Linked DNA regions of Rhinolophus ferrumequinum. The protein of the gene in region 1 interacts with the protein of each later gene in a biochemical or structural test. Links are inferred from orthologs where the notes say so. Each region holds a gene or a part of one and is shown in the gene's direction. Other genes may lie near its edges.

Region 1 (14,563 bases):
CCTGTGTGGGAGGCCCTGGCTGCAGTGCTCTGCCTTTTCTCTCCTACAGCAGGTCTTTCCCTGCCACAGGCTGGTAGCCACCCACCGGAAACAGGTGAGTCCCAGGTGCTTCCTGTGGACTTAACCCCTTCTGGGCCTGCTGACCACTCCCTGAGCCTGAGCCTCTGCTCACGCGTGTGATGCCAGGAATGGCTCCAGGATTGTTTATGGAGGGACAGGAGCTGCCCACCCTGCCTGAAGCAGGAAGGGCCGGGTCTGGTCAGCCCTTGGCATGGCATGGAGGGCTTACTGGGGCACACAAGCCTCCTCTGTGAGCGTCAATAGCCCCCCCACCCGAAGGCCTCTGTTCAGAACTGCACTGCTCTAGGCTTGGGACGCACTGTGGGCCGCAGGCCCAGGGCGGGCCGCTGAAATGAGTTGTTTACTGAGCTCTCGCCTCCCCAGGCTGCACCTGTCTAGGGCAGGGACCTTGTGTATCTTTGGCAGATAATGAATTCTGTATAAAGGACCCGAACGGCTCTGAAAGTTTCCGGCTGTCCAAAGCGATTCTCCCTCCTTGTGCCTTCTGAAGCTGACTCCACCTGGGAAAGCTACAGGGGTTGAAAGGTGTGAAAATGCCTCTAAAGTTAAGACATCGTGTGCCTGGGGGGTAATTATCACAAGTCTCCAAGGAGCTGGAAGAGGCCACACTCCTCTCCCTCCTTTAACAGTCTGTTGTGTGGCCGTGGGAGTGGAGTTTCATAGGGCTTCTAGCTACTTATCCTGTCGTATCCCCACCGCCTGGAGCACAGATGACCCCACCTCACTTTGTGAATAAGGAACTTGAGAACCAGAGACATGTAGTCATTGGTCAGCATCACACAGCTCTTGTGTGTTGTTGGAGCGGGGCAGGAGGTCCAGACTGAAGGAGTTTCCGATCCCTGCCCTGGGTGATTCAGGGTGGTGGCTGGGCAGCAATAGAGTTTACTGCAGGCACGCTGCTCAAAGACAGCAAAGGAAACAGGACAGGCAGGAGGCTGTGGAAGCGACGGGGGCTGAGGCTCAGGAGTCACAGCAGAGCTTGCAGGGCAAAGCCTGCAGGTGGCGGCCACTGCGGGGTGGGAGGGAGGTAAGAAAAGCTGCAGCCACAGCACTGCAGGAGTGGGTCTGTGTTGTGAGCCCCACCCCTGGCCTGGCCCTACTGGCCTCGATGGCCCCTCCCCCAAGCCACAACAGAAAGACAGTAGTGCTGAGAGACTCCTCCTGGGGACAGGCGGGCGGTGCCTGCAGCAGCACAAGAAGCCCTTGTGTGGCCTGGCCTGAGATCCTGCTCCACCCTCCCTGGCCTGGGGGTGGTCGGAAGTTCAGATCCTGGGGTGGGAGGAGGCCTTGGCTGGGGCCAGGTCACCTGGAGGTCTCAGGGAGCGTGGTAGGGGCACTGGGAGCGAGGTAGGGGTTTCTGGAGACTAGAGGAGGTGGGATTGGCTATCCAGGGGTGGCCTCCTCTGAGCAGAAAGGAACAGAGATGCTGAGCGCTCCAGATCTTTCTCATTTGCTCCTCACACCTCCTGGGAGGCATAAACGGAAGGGGTGGTTACTCCCATTTTACAGATGAGAAAACCAAGGTTCAAAGAGGTGGCAGCCTCACCCGAGGCCACCCAGGGAGTAAGCTAGGGCTCACTCCAGCTCTGGGAGCAGGGTAGGAGATGGGTGTGAGAAGTTCATTGAGGCTGAGTTGGCTCAGGACGCCCAGGGCCATCTGAGGAATGGGAGTGTGTGTCCCCCTAGTGTGATCTTTAGCAGAGCTGTCCCCACAGTGCCCACGTCTTCCATCCACTCCCACTGCCCTCTGGGGGTCCAGGCCAAGCCTTAGGCATTCTGGAGAAGGACACATAGGGTCCCTGGCCACAGCCCAAATCTACTCAGCTTCTCCTTGGAATTCCACACACCCTGGGCGTTTGGCAGGAGCTGGAGTGCTTCCTTTGAACAATTTGTCTTTCACGGCACATTTGCATCAATTACCCCATTGTTCCTGTCACCTCTTCCTGGACCACTGGGCTGGCAGGGCCCTGACTCCCTGTGGACGTTGGGGCGGTGGGTGTGGGCGCCCCCTGGTGGCCGGTCTGCACCACCCATCTTGGTGCCCAGCTTAGCTACTGACAGAGCAGCCTGATGGCATCTCCTGTGGTGACACTCCGACCCCAGCTTACCACTCCCATCCTGTTCCCAGGGTCCCTGCGTGGAGTGAGAGAGAAAGCTCATGGGGCCGAGAACGCACAACGCAGGCGGTCAGGCTGGAAATTATTTTCCGTTAGAATTTTGAAGGCATTTTTTTCCCATTAAAAAAATAGACCATATATATGTAGAAAGAGCAGTTTTAGGTTTACAGAGAGATCTCACAGAAAGTAGTTTCCCTAACTGCCGTCTTCACATCCCCACATGCAGTTTCCCCTATTACTAAAATAGTCAGGCGCTGAAGTAATGACTTTGTTACACTTGATGAATGCATACTGATACATTGTTATTAACTAGCTTCCCATCCAGCTACAGATTTGTATGGGGCCCCTTTTCTGTCTGGAGGTTTTAAACAGCTCCTTGGTCCCTGTGCCTTAAGTTTTTGCTGTAATGGAGCTGGTACTTGGTGAGGACTGTCGTCTCGGTTCTGGAAGGTGTGGGTTTAATTTCTTTGATAACTACCTCTTTCTAAGTTCTGTGAACCTCCAGCTAGGACTGTATTGCACCTGCTGGGTGATCCTTTAATTTTTCTTATCCTTCCTGATCTAGTTCCCATCTTTTTTTTTTTTTTTTTTGGTACTTTCTGGAAAATTTCTTCAACTTTATTAGCCTTCTACTGAATGTTTTATTGTTCCTATCATATTCCTATTTTCCAAGAGGTATGAAATGTGATCAGACAATATGATGAATGTTTAAATTAAAAAAACCTTATTCCAGTAAAGGACACATTGCCATTAATCCCCCTCAGAAGACCCCCCCCTCGCTTCAAACACCCTTATCCCATGTTCTTACCACTTTCTGAAGCAGTTCTGGAAGTCCTCTTTCGAGAGTGTCTAGTTGCGCTGTCGTGGCTGCCTCGATGTCCTGAATCATTTTGACTTTGGGGAAGAGCCAGAAGTCACAGATCTCGTGAATAAATTGGATGAGGGCACACCGTAATTTTTTTGTTGGACAGAAATTGCCATACCAGAAGAGAGGTGTTTTTATTTAAACATTTGCTGTATTGTTTGATCACACCTTGTAGTCGGTAGATCACAAATAAGTCACATTCACATTTTGTCTCTGACACACACACACACACACACACACACACACACACACACACACACACGCGCGCGCGCGTGCGCCCTCTGGTGGACAGGAGCAGAACTTCACCTCCAGCTCCTGGGAAGAGGCCTATGGATGCCGAGTGTTCTCACTCGAAGACGCACACAGAGAAGGACCGAAATGAAAACCACAGTAGTTCCTTAGGAAAATTTCCCTAACTTGTCATTTTAGGGACATTTGATTAACTCACGACACCACACAATCCGCAGAGCTCGCTATGGTGGCCAATCCCACACTCGGTAGCTGGCAGATGAGGGGTTTCTCGACTGGTTCCTGTTACTCGCTGTCATTGACAGAATGAAAAATCAGACTTCATTTTTCTTTTTAAATTTTTATTGGGGAATATTGGGGAACAGTGTGTTTTTCCAGGACCCATCAGCTTCACATCAAGTCGTTGTTTTCAATCTAGTTGTGGAGGGCTCAGCTCAGTGGCCCATGTGGGAATCGAACCGGTGACCTGGGTGTCATGAGCACTGCACTCTAACCACTGAGCCAACTGGCCCCACCTCGGGTGGGTTCTTTGCTCTGCGTGATTCCAGGAACACTGCGTTGGTCGTTTGGAGAGTATCAGCGCTCCGAGCCATGCAGATCTTCCCAATGTTAACACATTCCATCCGTCATACAGTGGTTTGTGAAAAATCAGTCTTTAATATCACCGCCCATCGTATGGGAAGAGCCTGCAGGTCTGGGAGGCTGTCGCGCTCACATGGCAGATACGGATACTCTAAGATTTCCATTTTCTCTTGAAAGCTGGAATTTTATAAGTGGCCACAAATATGCTCGGTTGTTTCCCTTGAGAAACCAGGCCCACTTTGTTCATTTTTGAAAAAATATCTACTAATATTCAAGTCCAACTACCTATAGTTTTTCAGTCAGTCATTCTTTCATGTAAAAACGGAAAAGCAGCTGGAAGTGCTATGCTTCACACTTTGGTAGATGGCAGGGAGCTCTGTGCACAGCGACCATATTTACTAGAATAGGATGAGCCCTTTGCTTCCTCGGGGCACCCGTCCATAAACTGGCTTTTCTCCGGAGGGTGCATGGGGGGGCAACGGTGACTGCTGGCGCAGTTTGAGAAGAGACAGGTCTGTCCTGCTAGGCCAGACGCCATCCCATCTCCCGCTCTGGCTGGAGGGTGAATTCATTTCACCCCAGCCTTCTGAGCCCCTTTTGGTCCCCGGACTGTTCCAGTGGTTACCCCCTCAGTGTAGTCCTGTGTCAATGGTACCCTTTCCCCACTGGACCAACAGCGGGTGATCAAAGGGGAGGGTTTTGGGTTGTATTCTCCTACAGCCTGTGACAAGGAGAGAAGAGTTGGGCAGAGGTTGTGACCCATGTCTGCCTGGGAGTCTGTGCTGTGGTGTGGGAGGAACACAAGGAGAGGCCTTCTCTTTCTTGCCCTGAGAGGCAAGTGGCAGCTTCCCCACCCCCTCCCCCCCTGTGGAAAGGGCAGGGGCCCATGGAAGCCCTATCCTGGGAAGGGGGTTTGGAGTTGGGCAGAGGTTATCTCATGCTGGCGGGGGTCCTGAAGGGACTTCATTGGAACCTCTGATGAAGAAGGCCCCTCCTGAGCCGTTCCTCCCCAGACTCCTGCAGAAGAGCTATGGCGTGGGGCAGGAGTGTGAGGTGAGCGGAGAACGAGGGCTGCTGAGGTCTGGGGTTTGGTCAGAGAGGCATGGCGGGGGAGGAGAAAGCGAGCAGGGCCAGGGCCCTTTGTCTGTGTTGGTGCCTGTCCCCTGACATTCCAGGCTCTGGCCTGGACACTGGTGGAGGGGGTGGTCATAGCTCAGGGTGACCTGAGGGGCTAAGTTTAACATCAACAAAGGTCCAGCTGCCCAGCTGTTGTTTCTGTTTCAGTCTGAGAACATTGTTGGAGGGGACAGTTGTTCATCACCGATAACGTCAGCTTGTGGCTGTGACAACACCTCCCTCGGGGAGGGGGCAGCTGGTGCCTGGGCCTTCTGAGCACCTTGCCCCTATACCCTCAGCCATGAGCTCCCCAACCTTATTTCAGGACCCCCAGGGAGCAAGCAAGACGTCCTCCTGAGCCCTGAGAGGCAATTTCCTGTAGAGTCTTTGGTCAGAAGGCTCCTCTCTGTGTTGTCCATTCAGCTATTCAATGAGCATTTATTGAGCACCTACTATGTGTCAGGCACTGTGCCCCTTTTGGTCCCCTGCCTCTGTTCCAGTGGTTACCACCTGGGTGTAGTCCTGTGTCCACAGCGAGCTGGCCGCAGAGAAGAGCACGGAAGCCATAACCGGGCCCTGCTGACGGGGCACGTGCTCTGGGCAGCAGACACACCTGTGGAGACACACCTGTCTCCTGGGGACCTTGAGTGAGTTGCTTCACGTTCTGAGCCCCACTTCCTCTTCGGTGAAGGGGGCTGAGGACGGTGCCTGCGTGGCTCACGTTTGTCAGGCGATTGCCTCGTGCAGACAACCCCGTCTCAGCTCACAGCAGCCTGCTGAGGGGGACTGACTGCTACCCCATTTCACAGGGACAAACGGAGGCTCAGAGCCAGTGTCCCTGGTGGGTGGCAGAGCTTGTGCGACGCACCCTGTGCTGTGTCTCCAGTGCCACTGGCCTTCCTAGTGAGGCCCTTTGTGGCAGAGATTGAGGGGTGACGACTTTTTGGGTCTTTTCTTTGTTCCTTCTGCTCTAGCTCCCCAGCCCCCAGCCTAGCAACTGTGGGGGGCGGCTTCAGATGGGGTTGTGCAAGGCAGAGAGGGGCTGTGCTGGCTGTCACCAAGGCCAGGGCCCCGGCCGTGGGGGGAGGGGAGCCGGGAAGACAGATGCCCCTGCGCCTGGTCACTGGCTAATTTGGGCTCCTTGTTTCTCAGACAATGCCTGGCAGCGGGGCTGACAGGTGCCGGCCACTGAGGGGACAGGCCTGACTCCACAGCTATGGCCTTCTAAGGATTAGCTCTTCCAGCCGGACACATTCTTCCCTATCCTGGGAGGGGACTGTGGGACCTGGGGCAGGGGCCTGGCCCCACTCCGCCCCTGCAGAACTTGAGGAGGATTCCCCCACACACACACATGAGCCTCAGAGTCCGTGAGTCCCTGTGGTTTCTGCAGACGCGTCCTCTGGATGTATTCACGTCTGGACCACATTTTGCTCTTCTCTGTGTCAGTCTCCTCTCTGCTTTTCCTTTTCCAAAAGCAGTATAACCTTGCTCACAATTCATTCTTTTGTGCATATGAAGGTATTGTAAGAAAGTTCTTGCGTAAATTAAAAACATAAGCAATGCCACAAACCCCCGTGGACTCCGCCCCAGCCCCTGAATTCCTTCTCTGACCCCAGATGCGCCTCGGCTGCTGGCGGCCCTTACTTTCCATCCCCGCCCCTCCACCTGGAAGCCTGCGTCCCCGGCCACCACCATGACTTCCCAGACCTTGTCCCTTCTCCCTGGCAGCCTTCCAGAGTGGCGTCTCCCCAGGTTGACCTGACCCGAGCTGCAGTGTCCAGGGGGCAGGGCCTTGGCCCCTCCCTGGGCACGGTGGGGCTGTCGCCTTAGAACACCCGTTGCCAGCTCTCTCCCCCACCACACAGGGCACACGGTGGCATGGCGTGGCTTGCCAGGCCTCTCGCTGGCCTCCAGCGGGTCAGCATCCTGCTTGTCCTGGCCCAGCCGGCGCTCCTGGCCCACGAGGTGGCCGACGATAATAGCCACGGGATTAGCATAGTCGGCCTTGTCCTGCTCTGACTATAGGTGGGTATTATGTGTTCACCCACCATCCTAAAAATACCCCGTAAACAGGTGCAGCCCCGAGGGCACCAGCCCCCTGGGTTCTCTAGCACGCGGCTGGAGACAAAGGGAGGGCGGGAGAGGGGAGTTAAGTTCACTGACATCCAAGCCTGGGACGAGGGGTGCCATTCGGAACCTGGGAAGCCTTGATGCCTGGAACCCCAGCTGGAGAGGGGTGCAGAGCCCCTGCAGGCCCTCAGGCTTCCAGGAGCTGTTGCTGTGGCGTGGGCTCAGCAAAGGACCCTCTCTGCAGCACAGTTACGTCACCCCCGGGCACACGGGCACCAGAGCCACACGGGTCCCCCCCAAAGATCGGGGCGTGGGCTCGCGGCCTGATGTCCATGTCTCCCTGTAAGAGACGGAGGGTCGTGGAGACGTTCCCCGCCCCTCGCCCCTCGGCCCAGTGCCGTCACTGCTCTGGCCCCCTTGCGTCTTACTTCCCATCCTCTCCCCTCTCTGTCTCCCTGACTTGACTCAGGTGCTGGCCTCTCTGTGCACAGGATTTGCGTGTCCTCCTGAGCCTTGTGCACACGTCATCAAGCCCGTGGGCCCATTCCGTGTGCTGCGGTGCCTGCCCTGGGAGCTGTGCAGTGGGAGGGGCAGCGGCTCTGTGCTATTTTTACTGGCAGTTCCCATTGGCCATAGTTTTCATAGCCTCCCGTCAGCGCGGGCCCCAGAGTCTGCAGTCGCCTGCTGGACACCGCCCGCCCAGCTCACGGACACCAAACCAGGTAGGTGTCTGCAGCTCCGAACTTCAGATCCAGGTCAAGCCCAGACCGAGGTGCTAGGCTGGGGTTCCAGGAGAGCACGAGGGCTTGGAGGTGGGAGAAGGCATTTCTTGCCTGTACAATTGGATTTGTTGGCCGTAGAGTCCACGGTGTTATGTCCCATTGGGTGCCGCGTCTCCTGCCCCGAACTTTGCACAAGTTGCTCCAAGGGCCCAGGGCAGAGCCTGCTGGGCTCTGTCTTCACACTGGCAGCCCAGCAAGTCCCAAGAGGAAGAGACCACCTGGGGGAGGAGACGGCATGGGGGATCAAAGGGCAGGGCGGGGCTGCGTGTGGAAATTTAGGAAGAGCCTGGTGGGCAGCAAAAGGGAGCAATGCCTGCATCAGACAGAGAGAAGGTCCTCTGGCAAGCAGGACTCGGGGGCCTGGAAGACTGAACCCCAAGCCCCGCTGACCGCAGACATCTCTTGCTTCTTTTTCTTTGTCTCTGAGGGACGGGCTTGTCTCGCTTTGCCGTCCATCTGGACAGCAGGACAACAGCAGGTGAGGGCGAAGGCCCCCCTCCTCCCACCACTCCTGGCTCTGAGAAGCAGCAGGCAGATGGCGACAGCATCTGGGTTGGGGCATGCGAGTCTGCACACGAGTGCGGGCAGCTTCTGTGCTGGGCTCCGTGGCTGGGGGGGCGGGGGGGGGGGCTCAGGCAGTGCCTGCCAGCAGGTTTGAGATTAGGCTTTCCTGGTCAGAGCTCAAGATGGGTGTGTGGTGTGTGGTCAGCCAGGGAGGACCAGGGTGCCCTGGAACTGGACCCAAGGTCAGGGTGGGGAGCAGCGGGAGGCACACGAGCCTCACTTGAAATGTGTGTCCCCAATGAGCAGTGTGCAGAGAACACACACACACACACACAATCACACTCACACTTATATACGCGGCCTCTGTCCTGTTGGTTCAGTTGATACACCGCCCGCCCCACGGGGCCTCAAAGAAGGACAAGCCCAGCTCTGAGTCAAACCCCGGCCTCCTCTCCCGGCTGTGGGTCTGTGGTTATCTCCTTGCTGGCCCCTTTTGGGGGAGATGGAATGCCGGTCTCCAGCAGCCCATTTGCTGCTATCTACATCCTGACTTCTTATCAGGTCCCTGCTGTCTTCCACAGGACCTGTCAAGGGGTCCTGTCTGGTGGGTATCACAGCACAGGCTGGGGACCCCTTGGCCTGGCATTTGTCAGTGGGGCAGGCCCTGGAGCTTGGCAGGAGGCCTGGACTGGCCTGGGCAGGTGGGCCCCACACTGGTGATGGGGTTTCTGAGGCAGGCCTGAGTATGGCTACATGCCCACCAAAGATGAGGCACATCCTGGGGAAAGAGCCAGGAGGCCCACAGGGCTGAGACCCGGGACCCTTGGGAGGGCAGTGATGATGGATGGACGTCCCCGGGTGGTTCTTCCCCAGCTAGTGTTTCTTTTTTGATTTTCTCAGTATCTCTGGAGGAGCAGAGCCCTCAGAATAAACAGCTGGCGATAAATCTAATTTCAGCCAAGCATGCTGAGAATGTATAGATGGATGGACGCCCACTTCTCCCTCTGTGCCCAGGGTGACAGCTGAGACTCCAGGCCACCCCCCTCTTCTCCAGGCTGCACTCTCCCTGGTGGCAGAGGCAGAGGCAGGGCCCAGAGGGTCTCTGGTGGGAGATTCAGGAGGGAAGCCAGCCCTGCTCCTGGCGGGGCGGTGCTTCTTGGGCACAAAGGGAGAGGTGAGCGTTAAGGCAGAGGCAGGAGGTCACCTGGTCAGGAGGTGGCTCTGGAGTGAAGTTGCTAGAACCACTGCCTGCTCCCAACCAGGTTCTCGGACCAAATCCGGACGGCTGACCTGGTGCCCCGACCCCATGCACACTGGTCCCCACCCGGCCCTCATGACCCAGCGGCGGACTCCTGTCCTGCCCTGCACACCACCCCACGCCCCCCCCCCCCTGTGTCCAGGCCCAGGCAGGATGGCCAGTCAAGTCTGGCCCCACTGCAGCCTCAAAGACCCCCTCCTGGGCTGGGGTCCCCAACAGCCAGGACTAAAGGGTCCTCCCAGAGGAGAGGGCTCCTGTGGTAACCCTGTAACCAGTGCCGTCTGCTCTGGAGGATTGTCTTTTGCTTCCAGGTGACACTCAGTCTGGGCAAAGCTTTAAAGAGCTAAATGTTACGTGGCAAACTTCTCTAAGCCCTAATTTTGCAGAGGAAACGGGCCTGGAGGGGCAGGCTGAGGATCAGGGTAGAACACACTCGGCCTTGCCTCCCTGCTCACCCACTCCACGTGGGGCGTCCTCACGACCTCAGCCCAGACTCCCAGCCATGTGGCTCCCCGGAGACCAGCCCTGGGCACAGTTACACTGCGCGGAGCGTGAACGGCAGCCCCTGGAAAGATGCACAAGTGTTTATCCCACCCTGACCCAGGGGACCCATGCTGTCTGGTTTCTTCTTCCTGTTGCCTGAAGAACACACAGGGTGGGGGTGGGGCTGTAACTGTCCTCATGAATGATTCTCCTGTGCCCCCAGGTGCTGCGCCCACCGCCATGCCGGAAGTGTAAGTGGCCCCGCCCCACGCAGGTCCCCTCACAGCACATTCAGACCCAGAGTTCAGGCTCCATCTGTCCAACCTCCGAAGCCTTTCCCCGAAAGGCCAGACCCGAGAATAGGAACAGCTCCGAGTGCCTGCGTCCCCAGCGTCCCCACGCGTCCTCCCGGCGTCTGAGCAGAACTCACACTCCCAGGTCACCTGGGGAAGACCACCCTGGCCTGTTGTAGACTTTGTCCATCTGCACGGGTCCGATGAATCACGTGTGCCAGGCCGTGATGTAATGCTGGCCCCATGGAGGAACCATCCCCCACAAGCCCAGGGATGGAAGCTTCTCGCTGCAGAACCCCTGGCGAGGCTTCTCTGACCCCCGCCCCCCACTTACAATGGGGAGCATCTCCTGCAGCCCAAAGGGCCGGGCTTTCACTCTGTTCTGCTGGGACCCTGGAATTGGCCCACCCGACACCTGGCCTCCCCAGCTTGTCCCCATGGTTCTGTGGCTGCATGTATTATATGCATCGTTCATACTCTGTCTTATGTTCTCTCTCCCCCAACCCTTCCTGTGACGGATGCCTGAAGCGAGGTGAGCTTTGAGGGAGCTCTGTCCTGGCTAAGTCTTCAGACTGGTGAGGGTGGGGTGGGCATTGGGGGAAACCAGAGAGAGCTTGGCTCAGGGATGGAGGGCTGCCCCGTGCTCAAGGTCACTGGAAGGAGGGGGGCTGGGACGGCAGCAGAGCTGGCTGTGACTGCACCCTCCCCGAGCACCGAGCGAGTTCCCGTCACCCACTCTGGGAGCTCGTCCCGCCCACCTATGTTCAGGAGGTTAACACCCAGAGTGCCCAAACATGCACGTCTCTCATGCTTTTCAGGGGGTTTGCACACTCCTGATCTCGTTTTGCTGCAACGACTCTGTGAACGAAGCCGGGGTGGGGGCCTAGGGTTTCTTGTCTGCAGACGGGAGGGTGCTGCCCATAGAGGTCATGTGACCCACACCGAGCCTGGCAGGTTTCCAGCCACAGCCCCTAACTGATGGCAACTGACTGCAGCATTCTCTGAGTGGGAGAATTCTGCCCAAGTCACAAGGATGAGCTTCTGAGGGGCCCTAGGCGAGGGTTCTGGATGACGATGGTGACTGGTGGCACGCATTGGGGCCCGGCCCAGGGCTCCTGCTCTGCAGCCTCCGCCTCACCCTGTCTCTCCCCTACTCATCTTCAGAGAAAATCCAAGATCACTGCCTCCCGCAAACTCCTGCTGAAGGTGAGGCCGGGTGCTGGCTCTGGGGCACACTGCATGGGGGTGGGAGGGACCAGAGGGGAAGCAGTGCAGACAGAGCAGCTGTGAGGATCCTGGGAGGGGAGGGGAAGGAGGCAGGGGGTGCCTGGCTGTCCCCTGGAGCCAGGGGTCCAGGGCTGGGGCAGAGGGACTTGCCATTTTGCTAAGAGTTTCTCTCTTTGGAGCTTTGTGAGCCCAGACAGACAGAAGTGGGAAAGAGGAGCCTGGGAGGATGAGCACGTTCCAGGGCCCACGAGCGGCCTGCCTGTAGCCAGCACACACACTTGCACACTTAGCGACCTCCTGCTCACACGCTCCCAGGGCTGCCTGGTCTGGGCCCTGACGAGCGTGTGAGCCCGGAGCCCACAGAGCCGGCCGAGGCCGGGCTGGCGCAGCTGGTGTCCGCCTCCCCTCCGGCCGGGAGGCTGACCTTCCCTGTCCTGCCCTGTCCTGCAGAGCCTGATGCTGGCCAAAGCCAAGGAGTGCTGGGAGCAGGAGCAGGAAGAGCGCGAGGCCGAGAAAGCCCGCTACCTGGCTGAGCGCATCCCCACGCTGCAGACACGGGGCCTGTCCCTCAGCGCCCTGCAGGTGAGCCCTTCAGGCTGGGGCTGGGGGTGACGCCGGGGACCAGGTGGCAGGAGCTGAACTAACGGGCTCCCAGCTCTGGAAGTTACTAGCAGCCCTTCGTTTAACCTTCACAATCCCTGTGAGGTTAGGTCCCATTTACAGACACAGGAAGCGAAGTGAACTTGGTGGGGCTGAGCCCTCCTGGCACGTGGACAGGGAGGCAGCAGAGAGGGGCAGGACTCGGGATGCCCCAGGTCTGCAAAGACTTGCCGTCCTTCCCCGCAGAGGCGTCTTGAATGTTTTTAAAACACTGCTAACTGTTCAAATGCCAGTGTCTGCAGACGAGAGAGTGGAAGGAAACACATTAAAATGTCACCGAGGGTTATCTCCCCCGGTGGCATCACTGGTCATTTTTATTTGATTATTTTTGTTTAAGACGCAGTTTTCAAAATTTCTATAATTAGCTTATTTTTACCACAAGATGACTTTTTAAAGAAAACGAGACACTCAGAAAGGAAGACACGGGGCTTCGACGCCCAGAGCTGTCAGCAGTCAGGGACCTCAGGTGTAGGGAGGGGCTCCTCAGCTTCTGTCTAGACTACAGGTTCCGCCAAGTGGAGAGGGCCCAGGGACCCGGCCTGGAGGCAGAGAGGGAGGCTGGACACCCAGGGCCCCCTCCGCTCCATTGCTGTGCCCCAGGACCTGTGCCGGGACCTGCACGCCAAGGTGGAGATGGTGGACGAGGAGAGATACGACATTGAGGCCAAATGTGTACACAACACCAGGGAGGTGAGCCAAGGAGGGGCTTGGGGGCACCTCCTTCTGCAGGGCCTGGGAGGTGGCCACGTAGCAGGACACTCTGGCCCCATAGGGCTGCAGACGGCAGAGAGAGGACAGCCACACAGACAAAGGCCCACACTTCCTCCCTGCTGGCCCACGGGTTTCTCACTCTACAAGACTCACTTGCCTGCAAAGGACGTCTAACCTTTGCAGACAACTTCCGTGTGCCTTTGATCCTCCCTACACACCTGTGGGTGAAGTAGATGCTATCGTCTGCACCTCCCAGAGGAGACACTGAGGTTCAGAGAGGCCCGGGTCTGGGGAGACCCCCACTCCAGGATGCAGGCTCCCTCGGTTCCATCCAGACCCTGCTCCACGGAAAGGCAGGGCGTCTGCTGCTACTGGGCACTTGTCCTGGGGGAAGGCGTAGGGAGGGGCCAGAGCCACTCCCCTCCTTCCCATTTCTCTCCTGGTGATCTGTGGGCTCACTGACCTCCCCAGAGAGCACACCTTAGAAGTCCCCCAGGGGTCAGGACCTGGCCTGTATCTATCTCATGGGACCAAGGCTGTGCCTCAATGGGCTGCCCTGGAGGTTCTGTGGGGAGGGACGAGTCAGGAGGCTGGGGAACGACAGGAAGCAGGGTTTCTGTGGGGCGGGCTGGCCCCAGCGGTTCATGGCCATGCCACAGGGAGGCCAGCTGGCTTCATCTGTCCACTTACCGGCCGTTTGCTTATCAACAGTCAGGTGGTGGCTACTTGCAAAGTCGTGGGTGGGTCTGCGTGTCTGGTCGCCTGGCCTGCAGGCTGGAGCAGTGGGGCTCAGCCCTGGTCGGCCCCCCAGTGAGCCCCGCCCCGACCGTCCGCTGCAGATTAAGGACCTGAAACTGAAGGTGCTGGACCTCCGTGGGAAGTTCAAGCGCCCGGCGCTGCGTCGCGTGCGTGTGTCCGCCGATGCCATGCTGCGCGCGCTGCTGGGCTCCAAGCACAAGGTGTCCATGGACCTGAGAGCCAACCTGAAGTCTGTGAAGAAGGAGGACACGGAGAAGGTGAGGGCCGGTCCCCAGCACCTGTCACCCGCCAGCCTCCCCCGTCACCCCTGACAGCCGTGAGCAGGCCCTGGAGCTCCTGTCAGAACATTCTAGAAGCCGCGGGAGACCAGCGATGGAGTCTGATCGCGCTCATCATTCCCTCAGGCTGCTCCCAGTCTGAGGAGGAGACTGGGACACAAAGAAATCCACAGCGAGAACAAAGCACCCCATGAAGAGGGTGGGGGTTTAGGGGGGCTGGGAGGCACTGTGCTCCGTCACTGAGGGAAACTCAGCAGGTCACCACAGTCCCAGCACGCCGGAGCAGACGTTAGGGACCCGAGTTCAGGCTCTTACTCAGCAACAAACCATTCCTGGGGGGTTGAGCTCGCAGCGTCCGTGCCCAGAATGTAAGAGGCCTGGTGGGGAGAAATGGAGGACAGATATGGTCTCTGTCCCAAGACGCTTTGTACGGAGAAGAGGCGGACCAGGCAGTGTGCTGAGCAAACAGGAAATGAGCCCAAGGAGCAGGAGGAAGGCTTCTTGGAAGAGGTGGCCTTGAGCTGCTGA
Region 2 (14,563 bases), on another chromosome or scaffold:
TCACCAGCAGCCCATGAAAGCTGTTCCTTTATCTAGAAGGGAGTGCAGAGCGGCTCCACAACATACACTCCCATCAAAGAAAGCTAACTACCCTCACTCACACCTTAAATCCTTCCTGATGATGCCCAAGACAGCAATATTCTGCCAGCACAGACTGATCCCTTAGTTAGTCTTGAGCTGTGAACCAACAACTCAACACTAGTCTATGCCAGGTGTTAGCTGTTTCTCATCTATCTCCATCCATTTGGATGGAAACCTAGCTTAAACACCCAGATGGTTTTTGCTAACCAAAATGCCCTGTAGTGGAGGAAAACCTCTGTATGGCCATATTCTATCTAGTGTAAGGCAGACCTGTCAATGAACATGCTTCTGCCCACATCCCTTCCCTGCTAGGGTGATGTTCCTCTGTCTTCTTACCTCTAGATCAAACTCCAGCCCACCTCCCCTCAAAGCTGAGATCTACACTGGTTTGCTTCCTTGAGCTTGGGTGGTTGTGGGTTTATAGGCAAAAGAGGAAACCTGAGAGGAACTTACATAGAACTGAAAATGCAAGAAATGGGCCAGCACTCTGGGGGCCACGCCAGGGAAGGTAGCCAAGAGTGTCTGGAGGTAGACCTCCAAATCCTTCTCCCTCTTTTCCACCAAGCTTCTTGAGTTTTTCCCAATTATCTTTTTGGGCGGAAGCAGATTTTTATCAATCTTCTTCTGTGCAACAAGCTGTAAAAAAACATAAGCATGTCAAGCACAGACCAAGAGGTCCTGTGACTGTGCAGGACCAAGACTAGCAAGCAGCCTGTCATGACTTCCCCAGCCCCTGTGGCAGCACTACCAGGATCAGTGATCAAACCAGTGCCTCTGGGCTTGGCTGCATTAAGTTCAGTTAGTATCAGAAATACCAATACAATTCCAGACGGGGAGCTCCACCTGGAGACTCTAGATGGAGACATTCAAAACGGCCCATAAAATCACTATCTTTTCCAAACCAGGACAAAAACCAATCAGGGGAGTAGTCTGTCTTTAAAACACTCAGGCTGCAAATGACCCAGACAAAGGTATCTCTCTCCAAAAGAAAGAAATGGAATCATAGCCAGTTTAAAGTACAGGCTGTGGAATAGCTGTAGTCAGGTCAAACAAGTTCAAACCTGTTCCCTCACTGGGAAACTGTCCCAGCATCTCACATCCAAGCTAGGATTGGCAATCTTAAAACTGAAGTTCAAATATGCTCCTTGCACACCGTCTCATGCTAGGGTTGAAATCCCAGAACCCACCAGTGTTTTTTGCCAGTTACATTAATAAACTTTACATTATTAAAGAACACCGTAGGCATGGAGCCTGTTTTGCCCTAACACTAATACACGGCACCAGGAGAACTTGGCCGGAAAGCCCCAAACCCTGAGACTCAGGTCCCCCAGCTCTCAAGGGTTACCTTTTCATGCAGGTCATGGAAGTCACTGTAGCGGTGCTTGACTGTCCATTCATGATTGCCATCAGTGACCTGGATGATGTAAACCTACGAGGGAAAACAGGCAGCCCTTGCCGAGTGAGTAACAAGGAGAGCCCCACCCCGCCCCCAGCAATAGCTGCAGGATACCCAGACCCTCTCAAGCCACAGGACAAAGGTAGGCTGCCCTTCCCCACCAGCCTTTGCACCTGACTCTTGTTGCACAGCAGGGCCCCCTCTTAGCCTCCTCAACGGCACTAACACTGTATCTGGCAGGAACACAGGATGTTTGTGGCTCTAGCCAACAGAGAGGAACGGAAAAGGTGACTATCATATCAAACCATCTCTTTAGATTTTTACCTCCAGTCTCCAGGTAATTCAATGCCCAATCCAACCTGAGCTGCACGCAAGGCCATCTCTTCCAAGGGAGGCAGAACAGGGCCGGGTCTGGCAGGGCTAGCTTCTCTGTTGTATGTTTTCCTAGGTGCCCTGCCCATATCCTGGAAGCAAGCCCTAGTCTAACCCTTTCAGCTGGATCACAGCTGCGATTTCTGCTGCTGAGCCAGTAGTCAAGGCACCAAGAAGCTGATGGATGGGTGGGACGGGAGGATGGTGATGGACTATCAAGCCCTAACAGAAGGCAAAATGACTTAGCCGTCAGGGGAATGGGATCAAGGAAGACCTCAGGTCAACACCTGACTGCCATTGCCTGGCTGTGCTTATGGACGAGTCACTTATATAAGTGACTGGGAAGCCTACGTTTTCTCTGAGCCTCAGTTCTTCCATCTTAAAATCTGCTAGGTTTAAGAATCAAATAAGGTAATGCATGTAAAATGCTTTGTACAGGGCCTGCCATGCAGCAAGTGTTCAATAAAAAGTAGGTGTGTTAATAATATTCAGTTCAGCACACCCGGAGCCAAATGGTAGGTTGGCCTGGATCATCACATCCCCCACACCCATTCAGGAGTGGCTCAGCCCTGGCCAGTAAAGACAACTTTTGGAGCTGACCCTCCAGCTGAATGCTGCCCATGGGTGATTTCCAGCCAGCCACCAGCTTAGAGACCTCAACCCTCACCTAGTGTCCTGCCCCACACTGCAGCAAGCAGGGAAGGGGGAGAAGAAATTAATCAACTCAGCTGAAGCCTCCACAGAGAGAAGCAGCCATTTCTCCAGGGCTGGCCTGTTGCTCCAGGATCCGCCCCCAGCCCCTCTTCCCAGCAAGGCAGCTTCCCTCCTCCTCGTGTCCAAGAAAGGAGAAAGAGCCAGAGGAACGACCCTCAGGAGGAGGGTTAGGATGAGGGCCAAGGGGGTGGGGCGAAGGCAGGGCCAAAGACCCCCACCCTCTGGGAACAAAGAATAGGAGCTGGGAGGTGTTCAGTACGCCCCCACCTCAGGACCAGACCCTGCCAGGCAGCCTACCAGATCCATAGGCCTGGCGTCCAACCCCATCCAGACCCAGGAGGGTTCCATCACTGCCCTAAACCCTCCTCTTTCATATCCTCCATTTCTCCCATAGCCTGGACGGGTGTGTTTGTGTGACTGTGTGGGAGGGGCTTGCTGCCCCAACTCGCCCCCAAAGCCATGAAAACACCTAAGGTTCCTGGGTCTTGCACTTTCAGCCCTGAGCGAAACCCTCAATGCCCCCATGTGTGGGCTCCACCCTTACCTCTTTCTAGTCTCGGCCTGAACCCCAGGCCGCTGGGCCCGACCTGGAGCAAATCTCAACAGCGACCCTAGGTTCCCCAGATCAAGGCCCGGCCCCCTCTCCTCTTTCGCGGCGAACAGGGCCCTGACCCTTCCCCCGATTCCATCCATCAGCGATCCTCTCTTTAATCCCCCTCCTCCCGGACCCCCTCGCCTATCCTCCCAGGCTGGCACCCTTCCAGGCCTAGAGGATCTAGAGGACCCTCCATCTCGTCTAGACGTCCTCTCCTCCCCAGACCCCCTTTATCCCCTGATCCTCCCCAGATCCTCCCCCCGACTAGCCTCCTTTCCTGAACAGGTACTCTTTCCCCAAAAACCTCCCTGGGCTCTACCCTAGGGCCCTCTTCCTGGACCTACGGGGCCCAGATCCATTCCCCAGAAACCCCTATCCCCGGCCCCCTCCTCGAAATCGCTGGCCCGCTACTCATCCCTCCCCGGTCACGGAACCCAGACCTCCTCCCCAATCCCCCGACTCGGACTCGGGGTTCCAGCCGCCACCCCCGGTTCGGGCACCCACGGCCCCAGCACACCGTATACGTGTCCACAAGCTCAGAGCCCACGACGCGCGCCTCCTTGGCCGGTTCGGCCTCCCGCTCCGGCCCAAAGCTGCGCGCTACAGTCGCCATGTTCCGGGTTTCACCGCCTCCCGGCGCAGACTGGCAGCAGCAGGGGGCGGGGTCAGCGTCCCACCATCCCCCGGCTCCCACCGGCCCCCGCCTTCGCCGCGCCCCGTGCCGCCATCTTGGCCCCACCGCCTCCTCTCGTTTTCGCCCCGCCCCTCGCGCATAATTGACAGCAGCCACTCACGGCGCGCGTGCGCAGGCCTGTCCGCTTGCGTAATCTGTATCAGGGTGGTGCCGCCGGTCACGCTACTAGCAACCGGGGGAAACTGAGGCCCCGTGCAGGTAGCTCTAGGCATTACCCTTCCGTGCCCGGGAGGGAGGACAGAAAGCTCCACGCGTCCTCGGCTACCCGAAGCAAGTCACTGCTCCGCCTGGCTTCAGTTTTCCTCTCCGAAAAAGGGAGGCAGTAATCGCGCTAGCTCTTAGACTCGTTCTAGGCTAGAAACGGTTGAAGAAGATACGAGCTGTGCGTAGAGCCTAAACAGGGACAGAGAATTCTGGACCAGTTCTTACCCTCTCCAACACTCGGAAATCTCTGTTACATGGGCTGCTGGAGAATTGAGTGGGTTAATGCATGCAGTGTCCGGTTCAAAGGCAGGGAGCTGGTGTGGTTATCAAGACGGGGCTCTGCATGGTGGGGGTGTGACGGTGGAAGGAAGGGTTATGTGCTGGCCGTTGGGCACAAGACATGTGGTGACCTACCGGAGCTTGAAAGGGGGTGACAGACTAGCCCTGGACCCAGGAACTACAGTGCTGGAATGGGAAGCACAGGCACAGAGATAGAGCCCTAACCCGGGGGCAGACCTGGACCTAAAAGAGGGAGGTAATAGCCCAGCTGTGGAGGGGAAGGAGAGGGAGAGTCTGGCACAGACAGGGTATCTATAGGTGTGTTTGTTGGCTGACTGAGTGCAGCTAACCAAACCCAGAACAGTACTATGTGGAGATGAGAGGTCCGGGTTATGGCTCCTCTGGCACCCTTGGCTGAAGGGCTCCAGACCACTCAGTCCTAAGGTGGGTCAGTGACTTCCTTATCTACCAGTTCATAGCACTGTGCTCAGAGCTTCCCACTCCAGGCTTCCCTTGGCAGGGCCCTATACTCCCAAGCCTCTCCTTGCATACAGCTGCCCTCCACTGCAGAGTGTAAGACAGGGGCTACCAAATCAGCCAGACCTTGGCCACATCACCACCCCTCCAGGATCCTCAGTTTCCTTATTGGAAAGTGGGAGTAATGTCACCCACCCCCCTGCTTGGATGGGAGGTTGAGCTGCTGTGTAGGGGCCTGGCCTGGGCCCCACTACTTTGCAGCTCCTGTCCTGTCCTGGGCTCATGTTTTCATTCATTCAAGAAAACTTTCCAAGGAGTCCCCTAGAGGCCATGGGGGAACAAAGGGAAAGAGACTTGGTCCTTAACAGGCCTTCATCTCCTTTTCCTGGGCAGAGGACACAGGGACTCAGGCCAGTCTGAGATCACCAGGACCGGGGGAGGGGGTGGAGGATGCTCCACACTGGGGGGGGGGGCTGGGCCGGAATGCAGCTGGGGCAGGGCTATTTAAGCCCAGGGCGGACTGCCTGGCAACCCCAGCAGCCTGCCCTGTGAGTCGCCGGCATGGACGACATCTACAAGGCAGCGGTGAGGGACTGGGCTGGGTGGACCCACTGGGGGCTCACTCATCTCAGAGTGCGGGGTGGGGGGGGGAGGGCAAGGTCACTCCAGGGATGTGGTGGGGGCCCAGGAGAGGACCCACATACTTTCAGCCCAGGGCCTCAAGGGGATGGTGGGTCTGGTGTTCTGGGTGTTGAAGGGATTCAGGGACTGGAGAGGATCTGTCAGAGTGGGTAGAGGAGGAGGTCACACCTTGTAGGGTCATGTCTGTCCCTGTCTCCAAGTGTCCAGTCTGTATCCACATCTGTGGTCTCTCAGCCACATCTCTGCGTTTGTGTCTTTGGTCTCTGGAGCTTTGCTTTTCTCAGCTTCTTCTCATCTTTGTTCTAAGCTGTCTGAGTCTCAGCCGCTGTCTCCCTGTCCTCACCCACATTTCTGCCCCTCATATTCTGCTTCCCACACACTCACAATCCCCCCCGCCCCCTCCAGCCCCTTAGCTGGCTGAAGATGCTGTGGAGGAAGGGGGTGACAGGAGTTGTAAAGAGCGGGCTGCAGAGTCAGAATCCTAAGCTAGGGAAGAGACTTTCATGTCTGAAGCAGGCAGGGAAGGACTGGCCACGGGGGAGACTGGGAAGAAGGAACAGAGAACTGGGGCCCAAGCCCCCATCTGGCCCGGCAGGCTCTGGGCTCAACGGCTTAGCCAGGGGTGAGGGCTGGAGAGTGGTTACCTCAAGTCCCTGCAGCCTTCTGGGCTCACTGAGGGGCTTCAGATGCCATTGTATCGGCGGGGGGCTGGTTTGCTGACCTCTCCCTGCGCCAGAGACAAGGACATCTGGTACAGACAGCTGTCCCCAAGGGAACCCCTCCCTTAGCCCTGGGATTGTGGTCCCACTCCTAGGCAGGGAAGGGCTATAGCTGGCTCTGGGGGCACCCCTTCCTATCCTGCAGTAGTCCTTGGAGCTGGGGGGAGCAGCCCTCCGCCTGTGCCCATACAAGGCCTGGCGGGGCTGGGGGCTAATTTTGGCTCCTGAGGCACCAGCAGGCCAGGGGGCCAGATAACACTGCCCCACCCCCTGCATGCCACAGTCCCCAGAACAATCACCAGGTTTAACTTTGTCGCCCGTTAAAAATAGCCCAGTGGCCATGCCGGTCAAATTACAGTGGGTGGCTTTACCTACCCCCACACTGGGTTTATTGTCCCAACCTGAGGGACAGCTGTCCCTCGGGCCACCCAGCTTGGGTTTCAGCAGGGGTCCAATTGGGCACTGAGTGGTCACTAACTATTGTTATTCAGGGTCACCTAGTCAACGGAGGGTTGCCCACCTGTCACCCTGGCCCTGAACCCAATCTCAGTGAGGCCGGCTGGGTCACCTCAGGGTTTTGGGGGCAAGAAGGGAGGACTGAGGCCTCCATTATGTGACTTGGAAATGGCACGCCTCTTCCTGGCTTCAGTCTTCCCACCTGTGGAATGGGTTGGTTTCCTCAACAGCAGCTAAAGCCTGGAGCCTGAGTCCTGAGACCTCTTTTCCTCTCTAGGTAGAGCAGCTGACAGAAGAGCAGAAAAATGGTGAGTACTCCAACACACATGTAAGGAAACAGCAGGGCCGGGCTGTGGGAACAGGAGGACCCCAGGCTGGAGAAGAGAGGCTGGGGTCCCTCTCGTTGTGACCTCAAAGGCTCAGAGGGAAGTGGGCAGATTGGCCTGAGGGGTCTTGCCTTTTGGGGTCCTGGCTGCTGAGCCCTGGCCACTCTGTTTTCCACCCCCCGACCATCGGACACAGAGTTCAAGGCAGCCTTTGACATCTTCGTGCTGGGCGCTGAGGATGGCTGCATCAGCACCAAGGAGCTGGGCAAGGTGATGAGGATGCTGGGCCAGAACCCCACACCTGAGGAGCTGCAGGAGATGATTGACGAGGTGGACGAGGATGGTGAGCTCCTCTGCCCTACAGGCCCCAGACCCCCGGGTCACTGGGGACCTGAATCCTGCGTCTGCCACTTATTATCCTGTGCTCTTGAAGGAACAGTTTAGCCTCTCTGAGCCTCAGTCATCTAATATATAAAGTGGGCATAATGACCACCTTGCTTCATGGGGTTGGTGTGTGGATGCAGTGAGAAAAACGGAGTCTAGGTTCAAGGGCGATACCAGTCATTCTGACCATCCCTCTTTAATGGCCGTGTCACCTACCCTCCAGGCAGCGGCACAGTGGACTTTGATGAATTCCTGGTCATGATGGTTCGGTGCATGAAGGATGACAGCAAAGGAAAGTCTGAGGAGGAGCTGTCTGACCTCTTTCGCATGTTTGACAAGTGAGCATGTGACCATTGACCTCTGACTCCAGCTCTAGCAGAGCTCGGGAAAGTGGAACAGTCTTGTGACCTCCAGGCCTCAGTCTCCCTTTCTGTGTAATGGGAGAGTGGGATGCTCCATCTCTCAGTGGCCCTGCTTCCCTGGGTCATGGGTGGGGCTGCCTCTTCCCCTCCCCAGTCCATGGCTCTGAGACCCGCCCCTGCCCCGGACTCACTGCAGAAATGCTGACGGCTACATTGACCTGGAGGAGCTGAAGACAATGCTTCAGGCTACAGGTGAGACCATCACGGAGGACGACATTGAGGAGCTCATGAAGGATGGTGACAAGAACAATGACGGCCGGATCGACTATGACGGTGAGGGCGTGATGTACCGGGTTTCCCACTGCCCACACCGTGCCAGCCCCCACCTCTGACCCATGCCTGTTACTCTCTCCACAGAGTTCCTGGAGTTCATGAAAGGGGTGGAGTAGAGGCCGACCCTCTCCCAGAGCTGCCTGTGCCACCTTCCAACTCCAGCTGGGCCCTGGGGTGGGGCAAGGGGCCGGTGTCCCCAGGATGTGAGCCTGGGCGTGTCCTTGACCGCAGGCCATCCCTGACTCCCTCCCCAGTCCTGTTCTAGGAATGCAAATAAAGCCATGCTCTCTGGAGGCCTGGTGTCTGGCTTTCATTCCAGGGGCTGTGGACTCTCTTCATCAGGGTTACTCCAGCCCTGATGACTTTCCCCATGCCAGAGCCTGGGCTCTAACCTCCCCTGCACACCACCTTCTGCGGGAAGGTTTAGGCTAGATCAGCGACTCCCACGCTCCATATCCTGCCTGCCCCCTTCCTATCTATAGTGATTCATCACTTGGAGTCTCTGGTGGCCCAGGAATCTGCATTTAACAGGATCCTGGAGGCATGACTTTGGTCAGCCAGTTGGCAGCCAGGGGGTCCTGTACTTGGAGAAATAGCTGCAGCACCCAGCTAGGCCCTAGATGCCACTTGGCACAGCAGCCCCAGCTCTGTCTTGCTGCAGGGCACTTGTTGGAGGGCACCATCTTGAGCAGGGCACTGTGGGGCCTAGTGGGCCTGCAGCTCTAGTCCATCTGCCACTCAACTTGGATTTCCCACTGGCAACATTGATTCCCAGGGACCAAAGGGCCTATCGCCTACTGTAGCTCCTTCACCCATTTGACAGGTGAGGAGCCTGGGTCCCAGAGAGGCACAGAGACCTGTCAAGGTCCTCCAGCGAGTCAGGGGAGAGCAGAGCTGCTTAGCTCCCAGCGAGGGCTCTATCTGATGGACCAGGTCCATATGGGCGTAATTTCTAGTTCCTGTGAACCTCAGAGGCTCCAGCAACCTACTTTCCTTCCCTGACAGGACATGGAGGCCCGAGGCCTGGTGGCTCTCAGGTTAGTGGGGGTGCCCAGGCCAGAACTATAGCCACAACAGTGACACTGGTCTGGGGGGAGGCAGGTGCTGCAAGGAAGTAGAGGTGTGAGCAGTGGTGCTTGCAGGAGGGACAGCTGCCATGTGCCTGGGCTCCTGTCAGAATGTCAGCAGCTGTCCTCGCTCCACCCAGCCACTCCACAGCCTCCCCACCTGTGCCCCAGCCTTAGCATTCCCCAGACAGGCCCAGCATTCCGGAGACAGTCTTGGAATTCTGGAGATGCCTCCAGTGGAGGCCAGTGCCAGCAGGAGCTTCCTGGTCCCTAGAGAGACCTGGGGGGAGAAGAGAAGGGGTCCTCCCAAGGGGACCTGACCTCGGGAGCTGGAGAACTCAAGGACTTACGAGTGCACCCAAGAAAAATGACATCTCAGGAGAGGAGGCAGGGCCACTGTGGGCAACACCACCAGCCAGTGTACCATTCCATGGTTTAGTCACACCTAACATGTGCCTGGCACAGGCTGGATGCTGGGACCCTTCAGAGAGAGGCCCAGTCCCTAATTTAATGGAATTTATAGTCAACTCAGGAAGACAAAGAGGGAAATGGGAAACCAGCACGGTGCCGGAATGAGGATTGTAGAGGTGTGGTGGCCATGAGATAGAGTGGTCCAGGAAGGCTTCCTGGAAGAGGTGGCACTGAGCTGAGGCTTGAAGTAAACCACAGGGAACCAGCCATGTGAGGTCATGGGGAAAGAGACTGGAGCATTGCAGGAGCAGAAAGGCAGAGTTGGGCCGGGAGCTGAGCCTCGGCAACCTTGGGGTGAGATGGCTTTGTGGTTCTCAGCACAGTGGGGCAAGAAGGGTGGAGGGAGGTGAAGGGATTCAGGGCATGTTTGGAACTAGAAGGCTTGAATGTGAGGTGTGAGAAAGTAGGGAGTCAAAGATGACCTTTCACATCAAGGATGAAGCTGCGATTTCCTGAGCTATGGAAGCCTGGGGGAGGCACAGGTTCTTGGCCGTGGGGTATCGGGAAGTAGAGGTTTCTTTTCTCTTTTAGAGTTTTTTTTCTTCAGCTTTTAACTTTTCATTTTGAAATTCTAGGCTTGCAAAAATAGTACAAAGAACTCCCATTAACACTTTACCCAGATTGCCCAAATATTAATGTCTTAAATAGCCATAGGACAATGATTAAGCCCAGGCCACTACTAACTCATCTGCTGACTTCCCTCAAATTTGTCAGTTACCCTACGAATGTACTCTTCCCGGACCAGAATCCAACCCGGGGTCACACACTGCATCTTGTCATCCTATCCATTTACTCTCCTCCAATCTTTGTCAGTTTCTGTCTTTCCTCATCTTTTGTGACTCTGACACTTTTGAAAAGTACAAGCCAGTTATTTTGTAGAGAATCTCATGCAGTTTGGGTTTGTCTGGGGTTTCCTCCAGATTAGATTCAGGTTACGCATTTCTGGCAGGGTGATCATATGAGAGATGGAGAGTTCTTGGTCCATGTCAAAGTTGAAATGCCTCTGGATAGGACGGAGGGGATGTCAAAGCAAGGCTAGATCTAAGTGAGAGGGGAGAAGGAGAGCTATAAACTCAGGTGTCATCAGAATAAGTGCTTCCCCAGGCCTGATCCTGGATGAGTCACCAGAGAGAGATTGTGTAGAGAGAGGTGGCCCCGGACTGGACACTGGGCATCCCTCATAGGCAGTCTGGGGGAAGAGATGTGATCAATGAGGTGGGAGAGACCCTGGGAACGTGAGGGGCCCTAAGAGCCAGGAGGGAAGAAAGGAGGCAGGGAAGACAGCTGATGTTTCTGGGGATAAGGAACTTGGAGTCCTCCGAGGCCTCGGCCACCTGGACACGAGGGTTTCATCGTCGCAGTCGGATGGGAGCCCGGCTGGACAGGGCCAGAGGAGTAAGTGAGATAAAGGGGAAATGGAGAGTGTGGACAACACTGGTGAAGTTTTACAAATGCTCAGGGAACAGAGGGAAACGGACTGAAGCCAAGGGGGGATGTGAGCTCATTTCAGGAGGGGAATCAGGGAATGGCCTGATTGCTGATGGGAACAATCCAGTGAACCTGGAAAAGGAGTGGCGTAAGACGCAGGGCGGAGCTGCAGAAGGTAAGTGGCTACAGGCCTCTGGGCAGTGTTTTAAGGGTATGGTTATAGCGCTGAGCCTGGATGCAAGCTGGGAGAGGAGTAAGGGGGCTCAAGGCAACGAGGGAAGAACTGTGGCAGTGGGGATACCGAGTGCAGGTCGTGTGTCCAGAGGAAGGGATGTGCTGAATGCTGATACAGCAGGTCACATCCTTATTGGTGGAGACGGAGGATGGGTGGCTGAGCTGGGGGAAGGCAAGGACCAGGACCTGAGAGGCCACGGGGCACCGCAGGCATGTGGGCTCCTGCTGGGCTTGGGACAGGAGAAGAGAGAAACCCCAAGAGTTAAGCCCTCTGTGAATGAAACAGGAGGATGGCTGGGCCAGCTGCACAGAGGGGTGGGGTGGCTGGCTAGTGCCTTAAAGAAGAGGTTCAGAGGGAGAGAGCCCTGTGGGATTGTCTCAATCTCTCTGTTCCAGAATGAGGTTGGTGGGAGAGGGACTTCCTTCTAAGCATGCCCACCCCAGGATTCTAGCTGGGAGAGGCCAGGCTGTGATCCTCCACATACCCACCTGGTGGCACCTGACGCATGAACACACACATCACACATGGATATGCAGCTAATGGCCTCCAGCTCCCGCCAGCACACGGCACTGCACTCCTCTACATACGTCACCTAGTTCTGACTGTTTGGTTGCGGTCGGTCCTCTTCATTTCTTTTGGGCTGTTATCCTTTGCCTGGATAGTGCTTCCTCCATGAAGCCTCTCTTGATTTCCTCCATCAGGAGCAATCACTGGACCGTCTCTCACTGCCCCTGCCTCTTCATATTATGGTTGACTGTTTATGGCTTGCTGCCCCAAGAGGCTGCAGTTTCTCCTGGGTGGCCCTGCTGCTCCAACAGGGCCTGACATAGTGGGCAGCTTTGGGATCTCCTGCAGTTCCCACTTTGTCCATTAGATGGCCCAAGAGGCACGTGGCTTGGCCAATTGACCTGAGAAATCAGGAGCACCTTTGGGTCTATTTTCCATCTGCAGTTTGCAAACGTGTCTTTACAGAAGATCCTTACCTTCTTCCCAGATGGGGAAACTGAGACTCAGAGAAGGAGAGGACCTGCCTGAGGCCACACAACTAGTTAACCTTAGAGTTTGGGCTCCCAGCCCCTACCCCAGGCTGTTTTCCTGCAGTATGAAGTGGACTGTCCCCCACATTCTGCCCCAGTAGATCCAGGCCTCCCCTGCAGCCTCAGCTGGGGGCCTGGCTGAGTTGAGACCCCCAGGGTGAGCTGGCAGGCTGAAGAGTTGTTTGGCCTGCTGCCCACAGCTGGTGGCCACATGCTGTCTGGCTCAATCTCCAGGCAGATATTGGCCCCCAGCCTGGGGTACCTCCTGAAACATCTCTCCATGGAGACAGAGGCCGAGGGGCTCTACCCCTCCAAGGGACCAGGATATAATCACCATCATGGCAGCTCCTGCACAAGCACTCCTCACCAGTTTATACTGCCTGTTACACCCAAGGTAAATGGTTCCTGGCCCTGAAAGCAGGAGACGGAGACTCAGAGAGGGAAGGGTCTTGGCCAAAGTTCTCCAGTGGAGTCAGAGGTGGGTAGTCATTGGCCTCCCTGAGCAGCCCCTTACACAATCCCAGGTCAGCCACCCCTCTCCCCCTGAGGAGACATATGTATGTATATATACATGTCAGGGGGAGGTGGGGACAAGGAGACAGGGTTCAAGATCCCTGGGTCCTTCTCACACTGACTCAAGGGGCTGACCTGTTTCCCTTCCAGGGTTGAGATGGGGAGGGTTGCTGGGTTCCCCCCAGCAACCCCAGAAGCAAAAGAGAATCCCAGAAGGGGCAGGGTTGATAGGGTCTGTTCTTAGCCTGTTGTATGGCCTGGGCTTGGTCTTTCCCTCTCTGATGCCCCCAAGTTTCCTGACCACCATCTGAGGGCTCAGTCTGGCCCATCTGGGAGGCCTAACTTTCAGGAGTTTCTAGAATCCTGGGCGCTCCAATTCTGGCTCAAAGTTGAAATCTTCTCAGCTGCTAGGGCCTCAGATTCTATGTATAAGGATCTGGGGTGGGGTGGAGTGGCAGCTGTGGGGGGTGGGGTGGGGACAGGGGCTGCGGTGGGATGGGACATGGGGAAGTCTCCTCACTTGACTCAGTTCAGCCCCTCAGTCTCTTCTCCTTGTCCCTCTTCTGTGGCTTTCTTGCCCCCCGTATCCAACCTCAAGGCAGAGTGAGTGGGGGTGTGAGTGCCCCCACTTTGGAGGTATCATAGATATAGGGCCTACAGGGCAGAGGTAGACTCTGGGAAGAACCCACCACTCACTGAGTGACACTCGTGGCCCTGGGTCTCTGGAAAAACTTGATGGCTGAGAGACGCAGGGTAATGGGAGGCTCCTCTGCCCAGTCAGCTGGGAAGGGGCCTGGAAGCCAGACATTCATTTCTTGCCAATCCCAGTTCTGTGAAGTATGGCAGCCCTTAAGCCTGCACCCAAAACATGGAGCCCCTTGGGCTGGAATGACCCCGCCCCACGTAACTTGGGCCCTGCCAGGGGAGCTGAGGAGCCAGGCCAAGGCTTCAGGGGGCTGAACCCTCCAGGTATCAGGGACCTAGACCTAGAGTCGGTTTGTGGGGGTCTATGTCATGGGCGTTACAGGGTCAGGGAGCAAAGGAGAGCCCAGCCAGACCCGCACCCAGCCCATCAACCTCTGATCTCTGACTTCGACCTCCCTTCCGGGGTATCTCCCCCCTTGACATTTTACTAGAGCCTGGGGACTTGGGTTTGTGGACATTTTTGTGTCAGCTACCCACACCCAGTTGGGAATGAGGCTTCCCAACAGTGAACTGTGACACCAGCCAATCTGACACAGAGGCATCAACCGGGCCAGTCGGGAAAGAGGGAGCAACTGCAGGTGGATGGCAAGGGCCCTTGCCCCTCCCTCCTCCTCCGCCTTCCTGGCCCTGGACGGGGTGGAGCCACTGCCTTATAAGTGGCAGGCCTGGCGGCGACAGAACAAACTACAACCAGCAGCAGAACTAGAGGTTGGCTTCTCGGGCAGCCTTGTGCCCTTGATCCCCCAGCATGGTCCCCTCGGCCTGGTCCATCTGCTGCCTCCTGGGGGGCCTCCTGCTTTGCGGGGGCAGCCCCAGTCCTGGCCCCAGCGTGCCCCGCCTGCGGCTCTCCTACCGAGGTACGGGTGGGTGTGCCCTGTTCCTGTGCATGTCCCTGGGAGCCCCAGACCCTGCAGCACACCCAGCAGTGGGGCCCCGGCCAGCCCCCGGCAATCTGTTCTGCCAGCTGGAGGGATGCTGTCACTCCCTGCATAGCCCGTGGGAAAGACTTCACAGTCATGCCCTGGGTTGGTGCTCTGACTGCCACCAGCGGCAGGCGCTGCGGAAGACGCGGG

The links.
Region 2: the proteins of TNNI1 (region 1) and TNNC1 are reported together in a solved structure, tested with the Homo sapiens proteins (2 studies listed by BioGRID, with this or other methods). The link is inferred for Rhinolophus ferrumequinum from reciprocal best matches to the Homo sapiens genes TNNI1 and TNNC1.

What each region holds. Positions count from the first base shown.
Region 1 is NC_046310.1:926,322-940,884, forward strand, and holds the start of TNNI1 (troponin I, slow skeletal muscle), read left to right. Parts: upstream 1-7,715; 5' UTR 7,716-7,802; intron 7,803-10,330; 5' UTR 10,331-10,347; coding exon 10,348-10,358; intron 10,359-10,928; coding exon 10,929-10,932; intron 10,933-11,564; coding exon 11,565-11,606; intron 11,607-12,077; coding exon 12,078-12,209; intron 12,210-12,887; coding exon 12,888-12,977; intron 12,978-13,837; coding exon 13,838-14,014; intron 14,015-14,563. UniProt on the Homo sapiens protein: Troponin I is the inhibitory subunit of troponin, the thin filament regulatory complex which confers calcium-sensitivity to striated muscle actomyosin ATPase activity.
Region 2 is NC_046300.1:48,068,007-48,082,569, reverse strand, and holds TNNC1 (troponin C, slow skeletal and cardiac muscles), read left to right. Parts: upstream 1-5,274; 5' UTR 5,275-5,373; coding exon 5,374-5,397; intron 5,398-6,906; coding exon 6,907-6,937; intron 6,938-7,151; coding exon 7,152-7,298; intron 7,299-7,562; coding exon 7,563-7,677; intron 7,678-7,897; coding exon 7,898-8,034; intron 8,035-8,118; coding exon 8,119-8,150; 3' UTR 8,151-8,327; downstream 8,328-14,563. Other genes in the region: NISCH (nischarin), read right to left, coding at 535-717, 1,427-1,510, 3,676-3,771; SEMA3G (semaphorin-3G), read left to right, coding at 14,239-14,347. UniProt on the Homo sapiens protein: Troponin is the central regulatory protein of striated muscle contraction. Tn consists of three components: Tn-I which is the inhibitor of actomyosin ATPase, Tn-T which contains the binding site for tropomyosin and Tn-C.